2 linked regions of the Mus musculus genome follow. The protein of the gene in region 1 interacts with the protein of each later gene in a biochemical or structural test. Links are inferred from orthologs where the notes say so. Each region holds a gene or a part of one and is shown on either strand. Other genes may lie near its edges.

What was found.
Region 2: the proteins of Mavs (region 1) and Irf3 form a complex in vitro, tested with the Homo sapiens proteins (2 studies listed by BioGRID). The link is inferred for Mus musculus from reciprocal best matches to the Homo sapiens genes MAVS and IRF3.

The regions. Positions count from the first base shown.
Region 1 is NC_000068.7:131,240,512-131,244,152, forward strand, and holds part of Mavs (mitochondrial antiviral-signaling protein), read left to right. Parts: intron 1-1,368; coding exon 1,369-1,538; intron 1,539-2,607; coding exon 2,608-2,761; intron 2,762-3,641.
Region 2 is NC_000073.6:44,996,291-45,000,464, forward strand, and holds the start of Irf3 (interferon regulatory factor 3), read left to right. Parts: upstream 1-1,357; 5' UTR 1,358-1,618; exon of another isoform or gene 1,619-2,088; intron 2,089-2,383; exon of another isoform or gene 2,384-2,414; 5' UTR 2,415-2,422; coding exon 2,423-2,587; intron 2,588-3,601; coding exon 3,602-3,773; intron 3,774-3,863; coding exon 3,864-3,934; intron 3,935-4,081; coding exon 4,082-4,174. Other genes in the region: Bcl2l12 (bcl-2-like protein 12), read right to left, coding at 254-396, 588-694.

The sequences.
Region 1 (3,641 bases):
CTTTTTCCTGGGCCATTGCCTGTTCCTCCGGCCCACAGTCTCCCCCTTCCTTCACCCTTGGACCTTCTGCCTTTCTGTCTCCATCACTCTCCATTGTAGCATATACCTGGATTTAGATCCAGCTGAGCCACTCACTAGCTATATGTCCTTTGACCATATTCCTTATTTTTTGAGTCTGTCACAGTGGGGCAAATGGCCACATCCCTCATGTGTGGCTGCACTTAGCTGGGGTTCCACATCTTCCCTTTGCCCAGCGCAAGGCACCTGCCATCATGTTTGTGGCTCTGGTGTTTCCTTCTGTCTCCATCTATACAGCGTAGAGAGTACAGAGTCTACACCCAGTCACTTTCCCTACTCTCCATTTCTATTCCCTGCCCCAAGGTTGCTCTGAGAGCATCCAGGTTCTAATGATAACACCCAACTGCCTGGTGGCCCCTTAAGTCCTCTCAATGTCACTGCCACGTCATGTGACCAGAGGGGGTTTAGTATTAGAGCTTGAAGAGAAGATCTGGGAAGAAAAACCAAGCCAATCTTGAACACACCATGTTTGCTTTTGTTTCTCTTTTCCTCCCTTCTTCCCATGTTGGTCTCTTCATTTGTGGATGCTGCAGTGCTCTCTCAAATAAGTAATGGCTATGGTAGGGTCAGAGATGGGCTGTGGCAGGGGTCGGTTGGGGATGACAGCTGTGAGAAAGCCTTGGGACAGTGGAGGAAAGTGAGTATAACAGTCAGGCTGGTGAGAGCCCTGTGCCCTGCTCCCCCATCTTTGGTGCCACCTTTCTTGTCTTTCCCAGCTCTTCTTTTCCTCCTATTCCCTCCCCATTGATGCTTATCATGTCTAATGAATCTTTCTTAGTCAGGGTTTCTATTCCTGCACAAACATCATGACCAAGAAGCAGTTGGGGAGGAAAGGGTTTATTCAGCTTACACTTCCATACTGCTGTTCATCACCAAAGGAAGTCAGGACTGGAAATTAAGCAGGTCAGAAAGCAGGAGCTGATGCAGAGGCCATGGAGGGATGTTCCTTACTGGCTTGCTTCCCCTGGCTTGCTCAGCCTGCTCTCTTATAGAACCAAGACTACCAGCCCAGAGATGGTACCACCTACAAGGGGACTTTCCCCCTTGATCACTAATTGAGGGAATGCCTTACAGCTGGATCTCGTGGAGGCATTTCCTCAACTGAAGCTCCTTTCTCTGTGATAGCTCCAGCCTGTGTCAAGTTGACACAAAACTAGCCAGTACAGAATCCATCCCACATCAGGTCATGGAGTTATTGAAGGGAGACTAGATGCCCCAAGCATCCAGGCCTCTTCTATTACCAAGGTACCTCTGATTCTTTCTGGACATCACTATATCTTTGTACCTTAGGGACCTCACTCCGCTCCCTAGAGCCACTGCAGTTACCAGACTTTCCTGCTGCGGTTTCTGGACCCTCTGCATTTGCGCCAGGTCACAACATCCCTGACCATGGCTTACGAGAGACACCAAGTTGCCCCAAGCCTGTCCAGGACACCCAGCCACCAGAGTCCCCAGTAGAGGTAAGTCCTCACAGTCTGTTTTAAGCTGCCTGCTTTTGTGTGCCTGTCTGCCCACTTCTGCCCACCCAGCCTTCCAGAAGCCCCTTCCTACCTCCTGAAAATCTTTCCTGCTAAGAATGCTGGGGTTACCTAACTGGCTACCTAACTGCTGGCCATACCTGTGGACCCCTTAGCATTCTGTCTTTAGCTAGCTAAGAGGTCATGGTTTTGAGGTCTTTGCAGTGGTCATGTGACATGTTGAGCTGGGTAAAAAAAAAAAAACAAAAAAACAAAAAAACAAAAAACTGGAGGTTAAACCAGATTTGAATGTGAGGGAGGTGATATGAGGGCTCAGGAAGTCATGGATGGGTGGTGACAGAGCTCTTATCAACTGTAAAGTCAGGTATCTGGAAGATAACTAGTTCTACTGAGATGAAGTGAGTTAGCCATGGGGTATAGAAGAAACCCTAGGCCTAGACAATGGGTCTGAAGCCATAGGGTCTGTGCAGAGACTGCTGAAGAAAGGGCAGTGGTTACAGAGCTAGACACACACATGGGGAGGAAACTTGGGCAGTGCCTGCTTTTTGTTTTGTTTTGTTTTGTTTTGTTTTGTTTTGTTTTGTTTTGTTTTTATGTTTTTTAAAGCACTTGAAGTCATCCCGAGAGGCTGGGGATGTAGCTTTCAGTTGGTGCAGTGCTGATCTGGCATACACATATCCCTGAGCTCAGTATCCAGCACCATAGAAACTGGGCATGATGACATATACCTCTAAGCCTGACACTCAGGAGGTGAGAAGCAGGTGAATGCAAAGTTCATAGTCACCCTTGGTAAGTTCAAGGCTAGGGTGAACATAAGATCTGATCCAAAAACAAAACAGCAACAGCAAAACCAAGTAGGTACTAGGATTGAAGACTTATATTTGGCAAGTATAATATTGAAGAGCTACTTCACTCTTATATGTGAAGGTTTCTGAGGATCCTGGGCTCTAGAGGAGGAGCTGAGGCCTGTAGGAGATACCCTATAAATATCTGCTGCCCTTTGTCAGCTCCTGGGAGAAGCAACTGCTTTATCTCATTTCCTCTGTTTCAGAATTCAGAGCAACTCCTCCAGACCAACTCCGGGGCCGTCGCGAGGATGTCTGGTGGCTCTTTGATACCCTCTCCTAACCAGCAGGCTCTCAGCCCTCAGCCCTCCAGAGAGCATCAAGAGCAAGAACCAGAACTGGGTGGCGCCCACGCAGCAAGTATGCATAGAGTGTGGAATTACAGGGTCTCTTGGATCCCTCGCAGGAAGGTTAGGGTTACAGTTACCATATGGCCTTCCTTAGACAGGAGGCAGGGTAGAAATAAAAGGTATTCGCTTCACAGAGTATGTTCTGTGTGCACGCCTGTGTGTGCAGTAGTGGCAGCAGCAGCTTCAAATGCAGTCATTTATGTGCACATGTCTCAGCTGGGTAGGTCTTCTTATCTCGCTGAGTTTTCTCTCAGGTGTTTACTGACATATACATGTGTTCTTCTACTATCCATTACCTGGTACCTCTTCATTCTCTTTTCTTCTAGGACAAAAACCCAACTCATGACATCTGGGCAAGGCTCTAGGTAAAAGAGAAGCAGAGCTCTGAGCATAGGCTCAGAACTGGCCTATTTCTCCTGCTCTGTTCTGTGGTCAAAATAGATTAAAATTTTAATTAATAGATTAAAATTTTAATCTGGCCAGCCCAGATTAAAAGCACATTGGAGGGTGTAGTTTTTTGCCCTGTGAGTGTGTATTTTTGTACATTGCTGCATATGAGAGAGAGCTAAGGCTGTTTCTGCACTCAGGTAAAAGGTAGTGATTGTCCAGGACCTGAAGACAGGAAAGATAACATACAATAGTAGCTGATGAAGGAGCTTTTAAACACTGCTCTTCACAAGGGGATTTCTAGTTCCCAGCTGTGGTGGTTTGAATGAGAATGGCTCCCATCGCCTTCTACATCTGAATACTTGGTCCCCAGTTGGTGGAACTGTTTAGAAAGAACTAGGGGGTGTAGTATTGTCAAAGAGGTAGGCTTGGAGGTTTCAAAAGCCCATGACATCCCTAGTTAGTGTTCTCTCTCTCTCTCCTGCCTCATGCTTAAGGATAAG
Region 2 (4,174 bases), on another chromosome or scaffold:
CATCCCTTGCACTGGGACCCCTTCTCCCTTCAGAGCTGCATGCTTCCCGGGCTTTGGAGCCCCAGGGTACCTCCTATCCAAGCACAAACACTTACACTTACCCGCTAGAAAGAGGTGTGACAAAGACTTGAAATGGTTATGGCTTGTGCTGAAGCTGAACCGTGTTGACTTTATAATGGGTCCTGTCTGGATTTTTTGGAACCAAAACTCCTAGCCCTGAAAGTTTCACAAGTGACCTGAATAAATCTCTTACCAGGCTCGGAACCATAGCAGGGGCGGAGGGGAAGGAAGTGGGGCCTAGAGGACTCCGTGGGGGGAGCTCCTCTCCCCAGGGGACAAGGGAGGCATCTTCGGAGGCGGCTCAGGAAATCTGTTGTCTCCTCTTGGGCAGGACTCCTAGGGACAAGAACCTCGGAGTTATCCCGAAGGGGTCTGGGCAAGTGATCCCTTCATCCTTTCATGGAAGATCACTCTTGAAACTCAGCCCAGGCACATGGAGTTAGGTCTGATGGGAGTAGATAGGTTTGGACCACAAGACTCAGGAAGATCTTCCCATCAAAGGCTGACGCTGGGGGAGTGGAACTCACCTGGGTGGAGTTGGGACAGGGGACCCAGCGACTTCACCGCGCTTAAGGAAGGCCGTCAGAACCTTCAGTGTGTCCTCTCGGAGACCCAACTCTTCAGAGCCGGCCATGGGGGTACCTGAGGCAGAAGACAGAGGATGCACCCAAGTGCAGGGATAACTCAAACTTCTGAATCACTGAATGAAGAGGGCGCCTAACTCCAAGGAAAAGGTGGTTTTTAAGGGCCAGTGGGGCAGTTGATTCAGTTGAGGAGAAACGGTCTGAATTACTGAGTCTAAGAAAGGAGGTAAATGAGTGCTTGAACTCTTGCAGGAAGGAGCGGGAAGGGGGTTTGGAGTTCCCTCTCAGCTAGCAGCGCCAAAGAAGGCTCGAAGACCGTAGAGAATAGGGAACTACTAATCCTAGTATGCTTTGCGGCAAACGCTGGTCCGATTTCCCCACTTTTCACCGAGCAGTCTGCTGGGAGATGTAGTTCCAATTTTACCTCTGGCGTGCACCGGGAGACCCCGGGTGCTTGGAAGTCACAGCTTGGCAGGACTGGCTGTGGCCTTTCCTGCAACCCTGTCCCCTCCCTGGCACCCAGCTCACCTGGCTCGCGGTTGTGTCCCCGTCGCACTGGCGTACACGCTTTCTCACAATTTCTACAAACTTTTACTTCGGAAGTTCAACTTTCCCACGCCTGCGCACTGGGCCGACACGGCAACCGCCCCAACGTCGAAGGGGTGGAGCCTTCTTTTGCGGTCATTTGCATATGGCGTTCCCAGCATGCCTGTAGGCGGAAGGCCAAAAAAGGGCATTTGAGGGAGTTAGGCCTGCTAAGCCGAAGTGCGCTCCGGGATTTCTTGACTTTATTTCGTCAATGTTGAGAAAAACTTTTTATATCTCAAAATATCGTTAGAAAAGGAAGTCCCAGCGCTCGGAGGCTTAGCTGACAAAGAAGGGGGTTGCGTGGCTGCGAGTCTCAGAACTACTGTTTGGGAGCCCCAAAACCACTGCTGGCACCCGCGCCGCACGGGCGCCCAATTCCTCCCCTGGTAGGTAACGCGGAAGAGCCGGGAGGGTGGCGGCCTCAGGGCGCAGGATCGGGCAAACCTGTCGCTCAGAAGCTCGGCTACCGAAAAGCAGAATGGCCACGCGTTGTAGACGGAAGCCTGCAGTCTCAGCATCCAGGCTGGAGGCAGTAAAGATTGCTGTAAGTTCAAGGCCAGTGAGCTCCAGGCCAGGCTGGACGACAGAATGAGCGCCAGACCAACATGGGTTAAGCGATTTGAAGACCAGCCTGAGCTACTGAATAAGTTTGAGGGTAGCCTGGGTTACAGAGTGCATTCGAGGCCAGCCAGGGCCACAGAGTGAGTTGAAGACCAGCCTTGGCTACATAGCAAGTTCAAGGACAGCCTATGCTACATACTAAGACCCTGTCTCAAACATCCGTAAAAACAATATAGGAACAAAAAACAAAAAAACAGAAGAAGCGACAGCACCTGGGAAAAGACTCTGGAAATGAGTAAGGGTTTTCTGCAAGGGTGAGGCGGTTGTGAGAGCAGTTAGGATCCTTTAAAGACGAGGGAAAGAGGACTCCACTCTTGAAATAGGGTGCCAGCTTTGGATAATAGGAGTTTACATTTAGAAAAGGGAAGGAACCTATGGGTAGAGTTCATATAGAAGACTCTGGGGGGTAGGAGAGGCGGTCCCGTTGGATTTGGAAAGGTGGGAAGGAGTTTCCCGTTTGTACACAATGGTGAAGGAAGACCTGTGTTGTGGCGGGTCGGAGAGGTTTGAGTGCATTTGCCCCGTGACAGACAGGCTCAGGAACTGTCCTGTGGTGCGCAGGCTAGAGCATGGAAACCCCGAAACCGCGGATTTTGCCCTGGCTGGTGTCACAGCTGGACCTGGGGCAGCTGGAAGGCGTGGCCTGGCTGGACGAGAGCCGAACGAGGTTCAGGATCCCGTGGAAGCATGGCCTACGGCAGGACGCACAGATGGCTGACTTTGGCATCTTCCAGGTGCTGGGGGAAAGATTTCAGACGCATTTCTGGGTGTGGCTGGACCAGGGCAGGGGGTGGGATAGGACTGGAGGGACAGACGGGAATTGATTGGCAGATTCTAGGAACAGAATCCTGAAAGCCAGGTTGCGTTTCTTTTTTTTTTTTTTTTTTTTTTTTTTTTTAAAGATTTATTTATTATTTTATGTAAGTACACTGTAGCTGTCTTCAGACACACCAGAAGAGGGAGTCAGATCTTGTTACGGATGGTTGTGAGCCACCATGTGGTTGCTGGGATTTGAACTCTGGACCTTTGGAAGAGCAGTCGGGTGCTCTTACCCACTGAGCCATCTCACCAGCCCTAGGTTGCGTTTCTTAAGAAACGTTCTGGAGCAATGGTTCTCAGTCCCTGGGACGCGACCCCTTTGGGGGTTGAATGACCGTTTCATTGAAAAATAAGTATTTTGACTTCTAACAAAACTACAGTTATGTAATAGCAATACAAATAATTTTGGGGCTGGGGGATCACTGCAACACGAGGAACCGCATTAGGATAGTTGAGAACAGCTGTTTTAGAGGGCGGGAAATCTTTAGGAGTGGGCTCTTGATTTTAGAACCCTTAAGCCTTAAGAGTTGAGACTGCCCTCAAGAGGTGTTATTTGCTTCCTGAGCAGCATGGTAGTAAGAATGTGAGGTGGCCTGGGGTGAGGTACCAAGTAGATAACTAGAATGATGGCTTAAAAAAAAAAAAGCCTTGAAGGTGGACATGGTGACATGAGTTTGTCAGCACCGTGGGCAGGGCAGGGCAGGGTGGAGGGTGAGGTCTCAGCTTGGAGCCCACCTTTGGTTATAATGTGTGAAACCCTGCCTCAAAATCAAAACGATTTTTCTTTAGTGTGGAAATAGTGGGAAAGTATGAGAACGGAGGTCCTGGGGGCTCTGTCATGAACCAGAAGTGGATGGTGTGTGGTGGGAGGTGTCAGGGCCTCGGGCCAGAGTCTAAGTCGTCTTGTTGTGGAATCCCTGATATTTCAGGCCTGGGCAGAAGCCAGTGGTGCCTACACCCCGGGGAAGGATAAGCCGGACGTGTCAACCTGGAAGAGGAATTTCCGGTCAGCCCTGAACCGGAAAGAAGTGTTGCGGTTAGCTGCTGACAATAGCAAGGACCCTTATGACCCTCATAAAGTGTATGAGTTTGTGACTCCAGGTGCGTGTGACAAGGCTGGCCTGGGGGTCACAGAAAGCTTGGGATCAGGAGGGTCTCTGCCACCTACACGCTCACTTCCACTCTGGACAGGGGCGCGGGACTTCGTACATCTGGGTGCCTCTCCTGACACCAATGGCAAAAGCAGCCTGCCTCACTCCCAGGTGAGAGGCAGTCGTCCCGTGCCTCAGCCTTCCCCCCCGCCCCCCACCCCCCAGCCCTTCTCCCGGGACCTCCATTCCTCCACCGGTTGGCTGCCCTCCTGACTCAGCTGAAGCTGTTGACCAGCTAACACCCTCCTCCTCCCCCAGGAAAACCTACCGAAGTTATTTGATGGCCTGATCTTGGGGCCCCTCAAAGATGAGGGGTCCTCAGATCTGGCTATTGTTTCTGATCCTTCTCAA